Linked DNA regions of Pelodiscus sinensis. The protein of the gene in region 2 binds, or shares a complex with, the protein of the main gene of each other region. Links are inferred from orthologs where the notes say so. Each region holds a gene or a part of one and is shown on either strand. Other genes may lie near its edges.

Region 1 (7,150 bases), on a different chromosome or scaffold from region 2:
AAGCTGGTGCTCCAATATTGCAGGGGATCACAAGGCTGGAGTACCGACATGGGCTCCCTACTGCAGGGGAAGTTGGGGGGGAGGGGAGGAAGGGCCTGAGCTCGAGCTGCAAAAAAAGCTATATTTGGCTTCTTACTGAGCCATAGGTTGCCGATCCATTTTAAACCTCTCTGGCCATTCTATAATGGATTTTAAAGAAGCCATTTTTCTATAAAGGAATTTCACCACTCAATTACAGAGAGAGAGTGCTGAGCTGGAGTTCATTTGCATGTTGGATACTGTCTCCCTGGTCTTTAACAAATATATTAACTGGTTAATGCACTACAAAGCCAATTTCCTATGCCTTTGACATTTGCATTTCACATCAATAGCCATGAATGGGACACATACAGCCTACTTAATTAGCTTCAATAACAAGGGTGCTATAATTGACAGGTAATGGACAATTGTTTTTGATATTATATATATTTTGGATTCTGTATTTTCACTCCAACTCATCTGATGAAGTGAGTTTTACCCACAAAAGTTCATGATCTTATACCTTTGGTATCCTTTCAGGTGCCACAGGACTACTCATTTTTCAAATGGACTAACACAGCTACCCCTTCGACTTCTTACAGCACTGAGGTGCATGTGTTATATATTTCACAAGCCCAGAATGTATTATTGGGCAAGGAGGAGAGAGTCAAGGATTTGTACATTTTGGATGGAGAAACAGAATTGCAAGAAGAGACCTCAGAACTTCATTAGATTGGTGATAGAAGAACCTAGACTCAATTAGGTGGAGGGAGAGTCAATTGATTTGGGGAGGGGAGGGGGGGCAGAAACTTATTTACTGTAGCAGAGTGAAGATATGGCAATGCAGTGACAAGTAGCCATAAGTACTTCTCAGCCAGATAAGTAAATGTTGTTTCCAAGTTTATCCTATCCAATTTATTTCCCTATTTTTAAAGTAACTTTTCCATACAAGGCTTGGATGGGACTAGTCAACTACAAATTTGTATCTGTTAGCCTTTACGGTTGCTAATTTTACTATTTCTGCTGCTTTTAACACCACACACACAATGTACTCAATAAATTAAAGGGAAAAACTACAGCCGTAAATGTCTCTGCCCTTAGGAGCTATGAACCACTCTATGCTCTGGTGCTAAATTACTATATGAGGAATGTAATAGCATAATCTATTAACTGATATGCAAAAACTTATAGGTTAATGGTATTGACTATATACATTTCCTTCACCACCCTACCCCCTCCCCAGCCAGTACATTTTTAGTAGACTTACCCTGCTGCAGCTCTGCATTTAAATTATATTAGGAGCTGCACAGGCAGGCAGCCTGGCTCAGTCCTGGCTCCCACTGGGTCCTGGACCTACCCCCGCTATGGCTCTACATTTGAAGTGTACTAGGAGCCACATGGGCAGACAGTCAAGCTCAGTTTCGCCTCTTTACCAGAGTCAACAACACTGGGCAACAAGCAGCCAGTCCACAAGGGGAGCTTGGTTGTTCAGGAGTGAGGCCAGAGTGCATTGGCTACCAGCCCCACCCCCAGACACTATAGAATAGTCAACTAACCGATAAGAATTCATGGGGTTACTTGACTATTCAATTAACCAATATTTAACGTCCCTATACTATACCTTTCACTGCTCTCAGTGACTTCATTTACCCATCTCCTTCTAAAATCCACTGCTAGCAGGCCTGATATGTAGGAAGGCTCCCACATTACAATTAACATTACAGAAGGCATTTTCTGTCTTCTCTTTAATTTCAAGGAAATGTAAGATCTCTCTCAATTCCTTAAAATCGCCCACACTTTTGAGTTGCCTTTACAGCTTCATCAGCCTTAAAACTGTATTTATTAGAGATGAGCAATAGGAGTTACATAAGGACATGAGAGCTATACACCACCATGATGTTGGCATATCTCCACATCCTGATTCTGAAGCCTCCTTTTCCATCTGCAACTGCAATGTGCCTTGGTCCAAGAGAAGGAGGACAGACTGAAAAGAGTAGCTTTAACACTCGGGTTTTACAAGATGCCCTTCCCTTATGCATCATCATTTTAGGAAGCTATTTTCAAACCACAGAGGCCAAGTGAGCAAAGAAAGATTTCACATAGCCAAGGGAAAAATTATAAACATCTCGCTGATCCAAAACACTGAGTCTCCTGGAAATGTATTTGCTCTGCCCTTACAATTCACCTCTAAGGATGGGATCTGAAGTCCCCTCCCACGCTCGCCTATCAATGGGGTGGGGGGAGGTGATTCACACAGAGGCTCACTCCTCCAACCTGCAAGAACTCTCCCTTCACTGTATCCCCGGAAGTAAGAGGAGCTCCTACAGACGCCGCCCCCAGGCTCTTTGCAATGGGGGCCGGGAGGAAGACATTGAACTCGGCCCTTACGAGCTATGCCTCCGAGGAGGTCTGGAGACAAGGGAGCGGCCCGAGCGGGCGAGGGGAAGGGCCCGTCTCCGAGACGCCACCCGGCTCGCTCTCTCCGCACCCCCGATCAAGAGGCAGCAGCCGCCCCAGGGCGAGGACCGGGCGAGCCCCGGAAAAGGCGGGGGGAGGAGGAAGGAAAGTGGCAGCGCCTGAGGCCGAGCTCTTTGGGCCGGCCGGGCGGCCTCACGCATCGGACACCGGATCCTGCCCCCAGCCCGGCGCCTGGGGCCTATTTTCAGCCCTCGGACCGTACAAGGCGCGTCGGGAGCTGCCCCTGGGCCGGCCCCGCTGCCGGCAGACTCTGACTGACAGCGCCGGGAAAGGAAGAAGCTAAAAATACAAACGCCGCCGCCTGAGGCAGCGAGGCCCCATCCCGGTCGCTAAGCCCGCCGGGGGCTCCAGCTGCCCCGGCCCGCGGTACCTTCTCCTCATCCGAAAGCTGCTCCTCCAGGTCCGCCATCTTCCGCCCCGCCATGAACAGCCGCCGAGCAGGCTCCTCCCTCCGGCAGGAAAGGCGGGGCCCTCTCACGTGTCTCCCGGCGCCTTCCCCGCGCGGCTCGAGAGGGCGGGACCGCGGCTTGGCCAACGGCCATTGCACGTACGCGCGTGCGCGCAGCGAGGGGCGGGCAGAGCGGAGAGGGAGTCGCATTCGCCGGGGCTCGCGCAGCGCCCGCAGATTGAGGCGAGCTGGGTCCCCGGGGGAGGGTCAGAAACCAGGCGGGTAGATTTCGCGCGGGAGGGGGCGGTCAACGTGTTTCGCCTCAGCTCCCTTGTGCGTGAGCGGGGCCGGCGGTGATGACCCGGATACAGCCGATTTCCGGCCTCTCGCCATTGAGCATCCTCCCAGCACCGCTCCCTGTTGGTCTGTAATGGAAAAAACCAAGGACCAGTCCTGCAGCACCTCAGAGACTAGCACAAATGTAGATGGAATCATGAGCTTTCAAGGGCACAACCCGCTTCTGTAGCTGACTGTGATACATGTGAAGGGAAGCGCCACACTGGGTCAGATATAAGGGCTATACTGTATTTGAGCCCTGGGAGGACAGGTCAAATTGACAGATATCCCACATGGAGAAGCAATTGTTTTTACATTTATTCTTATTTAAATAACATGTTGACTGTCACACGCTTCCACCATCCATAGGCATGGGATTAATAGCACCTGCAGAGAAAATACAAAACTGTGCTCGAGGTTTCAAATATACCCTGACACAAACATTCAGTTGTTACAAGGGGTTAAGACCCAATAGGTGTGCCTCACCCCCACAGCAATGATGGCCCCTGTCTCCAGGTAATAGCCTCAGGACTTCACCGAGAAGTCTGTAGGAATGCCTAACATAATGAATGCTAGTGGGAAGGGGGTAGTTTTAGAAGGTAAAATAAAAAAAGAACAAGTTAAAAATCACCTAGAAAAGTTAGATGCCTGCAAGTCACCAGGGCCTGATGAAATGCATCCTAGAATACTCAAGGAGCTGATAGAGGAGGTATCTGAGCCTCCTGTTGTCATCTTTGGAAAATCATGGGAGACAGGAGAGATTCCAGAGGACTGGAAAAGGGCAAATATTGTGCCCATCTATAAAAAGGGAAATAAGAACAACCCAGGAAACTATAGACCAGTTAGTTTAACTTCTGTGCCAGGGAAGATAATGGAGCAAGTAATTAAGGAAATCATCTGTAAACACTTGGGCTACGTCTAGACTGGCATGATTTTCCAGAAATGCTTTTAACGGAAAAGTTTTCCGTTAAAAGCATTTTTGGAAAAGAGCGTCTAGATTGGCAACGGAAGCTTTTCTGCAAAAGCACTTTTTGCAGAAAAGCATCCATGGCCAATCTTGATGTGCTTTTCCGCAAAAAAGCCCCGATCACCATTTTCGCGATTGGGTTTTTTTGCGGAAAACAAATCTCAGCTGTCTACACTGGCACTTTTGCGCAAAACATTTGCCCGAACGGGAGCAGCATAGTATTTCCGCAAAAAGCACTGATTTCTTACAGTAGGAAGTCAGTGCTTTTGCGGAAATTCAAGCGGCCAGTGTAGACAGCTGGCAAGTTTTTCCGGAAATGGCTGATTTTCCAGAAAAGCTTGCCAGTCTAGACACAGCCTTGGAAAGTGGCAAGGTGATAGGGGTCAGCCAGCATGGATTTGTAAAGAACAAATCATGTCAAACCAATCGGATAGCTTTCTTTAATAAGATAATGAGTCTTGTGGATAAGGGAGAAGCGGTAGATGTGGTATACGTAGACTTTAATAAAGTGTTTGATACAGTCTCACATGATAGTCTTATCAATAAACTTAGTAAATACAACTTAGATGGGGCTACTATAAGGTGGGTGCATAACTGGCTGAATAACCATACTCAGAGAGTAGATATTAATGGTCCACAATCCTGCTGGAAAGGCATGACAAGTGGGGTTCGTCAGGGGTCTGTTTTGGGACCGGCTCTGTTCAATATCTTCATCAATGATTTAGATATTGGTATAGAAAGTACGCTTATTAAGTTTGCGGATGATACCAAGCTGGGAGGGGTTGCGACTAATCTGGAGGACAATTTAAAAAGACCAGGACAAATTGGAGAAATGGTCTGAGGTAAACAGGATGATGTTTAATAAAGACAAATGCAAAGTGCTCCACTTAGGAAGGAACAATCAGTTTCATACGTACAGAATGGGAAGCGACTGTCTGGGAAAGAGTATGGCAGAAAGGGTTCCTGGGGGTCATAGTGGACCACAAGCTGAATATGAGTCAGCAGTGCAATGCTGTTGCAAAGAAAGCAAACATGATTCTGGGATGCATTCACAGGTGTGTTGTGAGCAAGACACAAGAAGTCATTCTTCCGCTCTACTCTGCGCTGGTTAGGCCTCAATTGGGTCCAGAGAAGAGCAACAAGAATGATTAAAGGTCTAGAGAACATGACCTATGAGGGAAGGCTGAAGGAATTGGGTTTGTTTAGTTTAGAAAAGAGAAGATTGAGGGGGGGACATGATAGCAGTTTTCAGGTATCTAAAAGGGTGTCATAAGGAGGAGGGAGAAAACTTGTTCATCTTGGCCTCTGGGGATAGGACAAGAAGCAATGGGCTTAATCTGCAGCAAGGGAGGTGTAGGTTGGACATTAGGAAAAAGTTCCTAACTGTCAGGGTGGTCAGACACTGGAATAAATTGCCCAGGGAGATTGTGGAATCTCCATCTGTAGAGATATTTAAGAGTAGGTTAGATAAATGTCTATCAGGGATGGTCTAGACAGTATTTGGTCCTGCCATGAGGGCAGGGGACTGGACTCGATGACCTCTCAAGGTCCCTTCCAGTCCTAGTATTCTATGATTCTATGTGTTTTCTCCCATTATTGCCCCTGTGTGTGCTTTAGGAACAAGGACCATCCCCTCCCTCCCCCCACGCACACACCCACACACCTGTGGTTTATCTGTTATTTATGTTTCATACCACTTTGGGTAACTGCCTATTCTTTACGGAAAAGTGATGCAGTCTAGACACAGCCAAAGGGTTTTCCTTTTCCAAAACAAAATCAAATGCATTATACATTGTTACAGGGTTACTTTAGAAACATTAAATTTATTCCAGGACTAAACAATAGCATTAGCATAAATTTTCTTATAACACTTTTCCTTCTAGCATATTGTAATAATTGCTCAAGTCCTTCCAGACTCCTCAGAGTTAACTTTTCACTATTTTTCCCTTAATCACTTGCTTTGTCTTTCAAATGAAAACTTAATTAGTTTAGAGATCACCATTCCAAGTAATTTTCCAAGAATTAATATCTCCAGTGCCTGTACTTACACTCACACCCTTATTCCTGCTACTGTGCCCTCAGGCTATGTCTATATTGGCAAGATTTTGCGCAAATACTCTTTAACGCAAGAGCTTTTGTGTTACAGTATTTGAGTAAGAGAGCGTCTACACTAGCATGTGCTTTTGCGCAAAAGCATTCATGCCAGTGTAGACGCTCTCTTGCGGAAGACAGCTCCGATGGCCATTTTAGCCATCGGGCTTTCTTGCGCAATGAAGTAATGTTGCCTGTCTACACTGGCCTCTTGCACAAGAACAGTTGCGCAATAGGGCTTATCCCTGAGCGGGAGCGTCAGAGTATTCGTGCAAGAAGCACTGATTTTATACATTAGAATGTCAGTGTTCTTGCGCAAGTACTCACGGCCAGTGTAGACAAGCAGCATGTTTTTGCGCAAAAGCAGGTGCTTTTGCGCAAAATCATGCCAATGTAGACACAGCCTCAGCGTTCTGATCCTCTTTCCCACTCTCACTTGCTTGTTTGCTTTCTTATCTGTCTGGGCCTGATCCTGCTTTCTCTGCTGAATGACCCCTTTCCACAGACACAGGTTTTGTCCCTTACTAATTTAGCAAGAAGGGTGGGCTCTTTAACTAGCCCCCAAACCTTCTGGTTCCTTTTCTTGGGTAAATCCAAATGTTCATTTCTGCAGTCAGCTATTTTTTTTTTAATTCCTCATTACAGGCTTTTCGTAACAGCCAGACTGCAGCAGTATCTCTTTTGATTGAGATTAAGGGTTTGTAAACCAGTAAATGTTTCGCCAATTTGTTTTTAAGATCTTCATGGTGTGAGATAAGCTAAGGCATTGTCAGACCATGGACTATGACTAAACTTTTGCAATATTTGCTTCAAAGATATACTTTACCTCTTCTCTTCATGAGGGGTTTCTTTCTGAATTTTTGCTCCAATGT
Region 2 (7,491 bases):
ACTGAAATCAGGCCTCTCTGCTTTTATAGGTTCAGAGGCACAGGTGCTCGATGGCCCAGAGTCAGAAGGGGGACCCTATAGAACCTCATGCAAAGCCTGGAGTGGGCAACAGCTTTTTTTATTCAAACACAGCTGCTAAAACTATCTTCTGCTTCTTCAGAAAAAGAACTGAATCCCCTGCTTAGTGCTAGTACTCACCACCCAGAGACGCATACTGGGTAGGGTTGCCAGATGGTTGAAACAAAAATACCAAACACTTGCTCCTCTCCCTTCCCCCCCACCCCCAAAAAAAAACACCAGGAAAAAATTCTGTTGAAGGAAAACAAAAAGAGGGGTAGGAAAAAAAAGGAGTCCAAGACTTATTAATCTCTCTCTCTATCTCTCTCTCTATATATATAAAATAAAACAGCATTAAGACAGCTTGTCCTTTAAGAGTGAGTGCAGAGCTAGGAACAGGGGAGGGGTTGAGCACTAAGACCCAGGGGAATCATTGCTTCCCCTTGGTCTTTTTGCTGGCAGCCATTTTGTGCCGGCAGTCTTGCGAAACCAGGTAAACATGGGGCTGGGAGAGGCTGGGTGCTGAGTGTTTGTAGGGTTGCCAGATGCCCGGCTGTGGCGGTGCGTCGGGGATCCCCCGCCTCCTGCACCCCCGTAGTGGCACGAACAGACTCCACCAGCCAGTAGACTAGAGGGAGTTTATTGATTCTCTAGGATACAGCACAGCAAAGATGTAATCCGGATACAGGGCAGGCCTAGGATGCCTCAGCCCCCCTTGAGATGGGGGAGACTGGGTCCCTAGATCCCAGCCTGTTGTTTAGGCTGCTTCCTCCATGATACCAGACAGAAACTAAAAACATCCCTTCCAGCCCTGCCCCCCAGCCAGGGGCTGGCCTCCCCTCCTTCCTTCGTTTCTCTCCCTGGGAGGTAACTGGTCGGACAGGTTGGGAGCCCCTTGCATAATGACTCATCCCCTGTCCTGCTGGGCTGTGCTACAAACAGCTGCCAGCGGAGGTCACCCAGAGCCCAAGCCTAGCAACCAGCAAGATACCAACACTACGTCACACCGGAATTTTCACTGCCTGGCCAGGAAAAAAAATCAGAAAATACCGGACATCTTGGGGGTCTGGTATTTTCTGAATTTTCTTTACCGGACAAGAGGTGAAAATACTGGACTGTCCGGGTGAATACTGGACAACTGGCAACCCTAATACTGGGATATGACAGTGGACAACTAGTCTGCATATGCACAGACGCCCACGGAATGCAGAACAGGCGCATTATCCAATTTGTCTTTGTGCGGATATCTGAGGTCGAACCCCAGCGGGCTTCAGGCCAGCTTGCTGAGTCACTTGGCAGTTGCTGTGTTTGCAATAACCAACCATCAAATAATGTTTTGTATAACACGTGGTGCTATGCAAAAGTCCCTCTAAATAGTCATTCCAGCGCAGGGCTGTTTCTTGTAAGAGTGCCTATCGCGTGGATGCCACTGGAGAATGACACCTGCCAGAGCAAACTTGCTGCAATGCACCAAAGTGGGTGTTGTACTGTAAACATGGCAGCTTGGGTGGGACATCAGGGAAATACCAGCAACCAAGCACAAACCCCACACATGACCTTCCCCTTCTTGCTATTGCTGGATATGCAAAGGGGAGTGGAAGTTGACAAACACAGATTACATGCAGAACAAAGCTGATTTTCACGGGCTTCAGTTGGCTTTTTGTGCCTAGCAAAGCTGCATCTTGAAAATGAGCTGAGTCTAAATCAAGGTAGTATTGATCCTGAAAGTCTGCGATGCTGCTCTCTCAGTGCTGCTGAATCAATATTTGCGTAATTTTACAGGGACTTGATTGCATTCTTAATCAGTGCAATGGAGTAAGAAAAGTCACATGTAAAACCCCTCCATTCATCTGAGGAATGGTTTTGACCCTTAAAAACTTATGCCCAAATAACTCTGGACTTCATTGTTTGCACAGCTACAGACTCACGCTGCTAACCCTCTGAGATTTACTCCCCACCCCACCCTGTGCTGCTGCCTCTGTAAAGCTCCCCACAGCAGGATTTCAGGCTCTTACCTCAGTTTTTTCCAACTCTGCCCAACACAAATCAAATCCATGCAACAGGCCCTGGTGCCTCCCCCCACTGCCCCGCACAGTCCTGCCCTCATCCAACAGGTGTCCCCAGCCAGGTACTCACTAGGGGACTGGGGGCCCCCATTCCAGCCCCACCCCACTCCCTGTAGGAGTCTTGCTTTAGCTGTTGGCGCTGCCGCTGGCTTTTTACAGAGGCCATGGTGCCCTGCAGCTACCACCCTCCCCCGGCCCCTGCTGTCAAACCCACCTCATGGGAGCTGTGACGTAGTGGGGGGCTGTTGACTCTGGTGGCCCTGGGCCCACTCTGGTTGGGCTGTCTCTGGTCGCTGTGGGCTGTGAGTGACCCTTCCTGGCCTGTGTCTGTAGCACTGCCCAGCGGGGGGTCGCCCTGAGGAATCGCACGTCACGTAGTCCGTGGCCCAACCGGGTCTCACCTGTCCAGGGACGGGGTCTGAACAAAGGAAGGGTGTGGCTCGGCTGGGAAAACAGGAAGAGCGGAGACTAAGCTGAGTACTGGGGGCTGGGGGGGGCTGGACCCCTACCCCAAGGGGACTGAGGCTGCCTGGCCCCAACTCCTGTAGCCACATCATGTCTGTCCTGTGTCCTGGAGAAGCAATAAACCCTCCTGTTCTACTGGCTGGCGGAGTCACATCTTGCTGCGGACCGGGGTGCAGGACTGGGGGGTACCTGACACACCACCACAGGAGGCAGCTAATTAGTTGTGGGGGAGGGGCCAAGTCCCTTTCCTATCGCGCCCCCCATCCTGTGACAGTCCCCTGCCCTGTGCAGCCCCAGCTCATTTGCTTTCCACCCCCATTCTCCTGGCAGTTGCGGGGGACACGGTGTCTCGACCCCCACTCAGCGTAGCTGGGCCCTGTGCTAATGGTGTGGCAGACCGGGGGCTGGTAAGAGAGAGGCTTTGGCCGGGGGCAAGCGGCTTGGCTCCCCGGCTTGTGTCCCACCCCCCTCAGTGCCAAGGAGACACAGAGCACAGAGGGCCAGGACAGGGCAGCATGGGGCAGGCGCCTGCTGCCAGTGTGGTGACGCGTGCATGGGGGGGGGCGGCGACCCCTGCTGCCACCTGCACCACGCCCCGTGATCCCCAGGTCCCTTCCGACCATAGGACAGCTGGGGGGGGGCACTGAGGGGTCCCCAAAAGCGTGGGGCCTACAGGCAGCTGCCCCATTTCATCCTATGGCCAGGCCGGCTCAGAGGGCAGGTCCCTTGCTAGCTCGGGGCCTGTGCGTAAACAGGGAAGCTGTTGCCCTCTCTGCTGTCAGAATCTGTCCTGGGGAGCGAAGCAGGCCATTCCGAAGGAGAAGCCAGGAGAGGGGGCAGAGAAGCAAAAATGGTTTGTGTGTGTGTGAGGAAATGAAGGGAAGCGGGCGAGAGAAGTGGCACGGGGACAGGAAAGGAGCAAGCGTATTTCAGAGGGATGGCTCACGAATGTGTTCCAGAGGGATGTTCGCAGCCGCTCCGCTATTCTGCAAGGGAAGGGAAGACAAATGAGAAATGCAGGGGGCAAAGATGACACAGTCAAACATTTGGCAGGGGGACATGTCACCGTGTGGTTAATTGGAAACAGCGGCGAGGTGAAAGTGGGTGAGTTCCCCCTCCATTTGAATAGGTAACCTCCCCTACCCCTGACAGAGGGAATACCAGACTAGATGGCCCTTAGAGAATTCCTGCGTTCCCCAGAGCAGAGACCTGGAGTTCATGCCTAATTCCAGAGTGACAATTAAATCCAGAGCTGTCCAAGTTCTCATGTGGCCGCACTGGCCTGAGTCTAAGAGAATTTAATCTGAGCTCAAGACCCCATTCTACTCGCCCCAGGTACATTGTCAGAGACAGGCCCTGACAAGTTTACAGTTTAAATAGATGAGACACAGGGTAAAAAAATCTGTTCTGTCCCCAGATACAGATTTTAATCTATTTTATAAAGGTTCGTATCCTGCCCTCATTCCTGTAGGACCGGAGCATCTTCCAAAGCACAGTCAGCCATGAGACTAATATCTGCCATGTGGGATGGGGAACCTGATTTGGGGAGAGTAGTTAACGGCTACGTCTAGACTGGCATGATTTTCTGCAAATGCTTTTAACGGAAAAGTTTTCCGTTAAAAGCATTTGTGGAAAAGAGCATCGAGATTGGCATAGACGCTTTTCCGCAAAAGCACTTTTTGCAGAAAAGCGGCTGTGCCAATCTAGACACGCTTTTGCGCAAAAAAGCCCCGACTGCCATTTTCGCGATTGGGGCTTTTTTGCGCAAAACAAATCTGAGCTGTCTATACTGGCCCTTTTGCGCAAAAGGACTTTTTCCCGAATGGGAGCGGCATAGTATTTCCGCAAGAAGCACTGATTTCAGACAGTAGGAAGTCAGTGTTCTTGCGGAAATTCAAGCGGCCAGTCTAGACACAGCCAATGGGTGTGTCTAGACTGGCAAGATTTTGTGCAAAAGCACTTGCTTTTGCGCAAAAATTTGCCACCTGTCTACACTGGTCACAAGAATTTGCGCAAGAGCACTGACATTCTAATGTAAGAATTCAGTGCTTCTTGCGCAAATACTTTGACACTCCTGCTCAGGGATAAGCCCTCTTGCACAAGAATACTTGTGCAAGAGGGCCAGTGTACACAAGCATCTTAGTTTTTTGCGCAAGAAAGCCCGATGGCTAAAATGGCCATCGGAGCTTTCTTGCACAAAAGCGCGTCTATACTGGGCATGGATGCTTTTGCGCAAAAGCATCCGTGCCAATCTAGACGCTCTTTTGTGGAAATACTTTTAACGGAAAAACTTTTCCGTTAAAAGCATTTCTGCAAAATCATGCCAGTCTAGACGCAGCCAATAAGTCTAGGCATTCTTTTAATAGCAGCTGAGATAACGCAGTCTGGTCCACCAATTGATCTTGTATCCAGTAATGGAATTGTAAAATGTAGTGCCATCTATGATCTGGAAGCTCTGGCCAGGATATCTGCATGCTTTTAGTAAGTGGGATTTTGATAGCCAACAGCATTTGGCAGGAAGCCACTGCCTGATTTTTCAAGGATATTTATATTCACTTAAGTCTAGGATGCAAGTGAAGGAAAGAGCAGCCAGCAGTGAAAAACATAACTATATATTTTCCATGGTCATAGCTAGTCAATCTTAGTAGATACTTTCTCTCTTCCACAGGCCAGGCCATGCATCAATGCACAAGGTTTAAAGTCCTAAACAGGTTTCCTGCTTTGTCCTTTCTTCCATTATATTGGTTGCCCTCGTGTAGACCTTTCGGCTACGTCGAGATTGCATCCCTTTTTCTGCACGGAGCTTTGCCGGAAAAAAGCACCAGTCTAGACGCGGATCTTTCGGAAAATAAAGCCTTTTCTGAAAGATCCCTTATCTCTCTTAAAATAAGGGATCTAGATGTAGCCTTCAGGTAAGCTAAGTCTTCCTCAGAAGGGAAGAGGGAAGGGGTTTCCCAGCAGCTGATGTGAGGGCTGTTTGCAGCTGAGCCAGTGGGGGATGCTCAGTTGCAGATGGTTCCTGGCACCTTCACAATTAATTCACATCTCTAGTGCTGGGGGCCCATTATTCCAAGGGCTCCGAGCTGGGCTGGATGGCATAGTGGTGTAAGGCATGGCTTGTCTACACTAGCACTCCTGCTGTGGCTCTGAGCTAAGCTAATGGGAGTGAGGAAAGCAGCAATGTAGACAAGGCCTTCAGGATCACATGGGATTAGTTTGGGTCACCACTGCCAATAAGCCAACCAGTACAGAGATCTCAACTGAAAGTGGGCAGCAGTATTAGCTGTCTCCCCTTACGCAACTCACTGGTCTTCTGCCCCATTGCCCTTCCAAGAAGCACGACAGCAGCGCTTGGCTGAGAAGTTCCATCTCGGAGCGCGGGCAGCCTGGCTCAGGAAAAGTGGTGCCCAGGATTATCCCGCAGAAAGAAGAGGCTCTGAAGGGTGGCTAGTTTGGATGCTGGCAACTGGGCTGCGCTTGTCAGTCCTGAGTGTGCAGCATGCACAGCCAAGCGCAGAGCTGAAGGTGTTCTGGCCCTGAAAGCACATTTGTCGGGAGGCGTCGCTGTTACCACGGGGTAATGCTCTGACAGCTTGAATCAATCCTTGGGTTGGATTTCCAGGCCTGGCCCAGCTCTAATGGTCTCAGTGGGGGCTGGAGCAGACCCATCTCACTAATGAACATTGCTGCGCAATTGGCAATTCCAGCTCAAGGACAGACCAGACGGAAAGGGCCGGGGGTGTGCGCAGAAACGCTGCGTACTGCCAGACTGCTACACTCGCCTTGGCCAGCACCATGACTTCATCGCTCTCAGAGTTACATACCTAATAGCTTCTTAAAGGGACAGGGCTATTTTAAAATCCACAGCCAATGTTTTCAAGTGATCTCAAGTTTGGGGTGCTCAGGATTTGCGTGGCACAGAAATGAACACCTTCAGCTCTGCCCTTGGCTGTGCATGCTGCACACTCAGCTATTCCCCAACCCTTACAATACTTTCAGCAATACTGAATTTAGACTGTACTGAAGAGTATCTGGCCCCAAATGGTTAAAGGACCAGGGAGCAACGCATAAAATTGTGCTGTCTCAAATATTTCACTCCTCCATTTGCACCCCACCCTCTTCTTGAGGGAAATACAAAGAGGCCCTTTTATAGCTGCTGCGGATGAGAAAGCCAATTTATTTCTTTGTCCCTTATAAGCATATGCGCACCAGGCTCTGCCTGACAATGGGGTAGTGACTGGCAGGTCTATTCTGCTGTGGGAGAACAGAAACAAGATCTGGAGATCTTTGGGGGAGCAGGTGCCACTTGCTTCAGTCCCCAGGGCTCGCTTGCAAACACAGCTGCACGGAAAAACACTTTCTAGGGCAGAAAGCTGCCTCCGACACTAATTCCTTGGTGTGTTCCTCCCCTTTTCACTGCTGAGCTGATCCTGGACCTTACCAAAGTAGGGAAACAAACTTGGATTTCTCAGCCGACTCCCAAGTGAAGCAACTAGAATATTAAAGACCCTCATTGCTGCTGGGCTGGCCTGATCCAAAGCCCATGGAAATTATTGGAAAGACTCACATTTCCTTCCTCACTGGGACTGTGATCCAAAGCCCAGTGACCTAAGCACAAAAGCTCCATCGGGTGTACAGGGCAGGGAGAAGCTTTTGTTACATAGAAAAGGCCGGTGGATGAGGGAAGAATTACTGTCCCATTTCTGGGAAAGTTTCACAAGCAACCATGTAAAAAGCCTGCAGTGCTGGAGAAACACTTGTTGGAGTTCTGCCTCAGGGCACACCTGTTCCCTAGAGCCCATTCATGCACCTGGGGTCTCCCCTTCCTTCTCATGGAAGGTGGGGATCTGGGGTTTTGCTTCCCCCCACAGCAGCATTTCCACTCCTACCTCCTGTGGGCAGC

The links. Proteins that work in one complex are often made in the same cells at the same time.
Region 1: the proteins of S100B (region 2) and CAPZA2 are in contact, whole or in part, in a crystal structure (PDB 3RM1), measured with the Bos taurus proteins. The link is inferred for Pelodiscus sinensis from reciprocal best matches to the Homo sapiens genes S100B and CAPZA2. Residues at the interface, in NP_001029727.1 of Bos taurus: Ile37, His43, Phe44, Leu45, Glu46, Ile48, Lys56, Val57, Thr60, Phe77, Met80, Ile81, Ala84, Cys85, Phe88; in NP_001013016.1 of Bos taurus: Thr267, Lys268, Ile269, Trp271, Ile274, Leu275.

Annotation. Positions count from the first base shown.
Region 1 is NC_134711.1:45,678,727-45,685,876, forward strand, and holds the start of CAPZA2 (F-actin-capping protein subunit alpha-2), read right to left. Parts: upstream 3,016-7,150; 5' UTR 2,921-3,015; coding exon 2,867-2,920; intron 1-2,866. UniProt on the Homo sapiens protein: F-actin-capping proteins bind in a Ca(2+)-independent manner to the fast growing ends of actin filaments (barbed end) thereby blocking the exchange of subunits at these ends.
Region 2 is NC_134717.1:65,124,355-65,131,845, forward strand, and holds the start of S100B (protein S100-B), read right to left. Parts: upstream 3,046-7,491; 5' UTR 2,338-3,045; intron 1-2,337. UniProt on the Homo sapiens protein: Small zinc- and- and calcium-binding protein that is highly expressed in astrocytes and constitutes one of the most abundant soluble proteins in brain.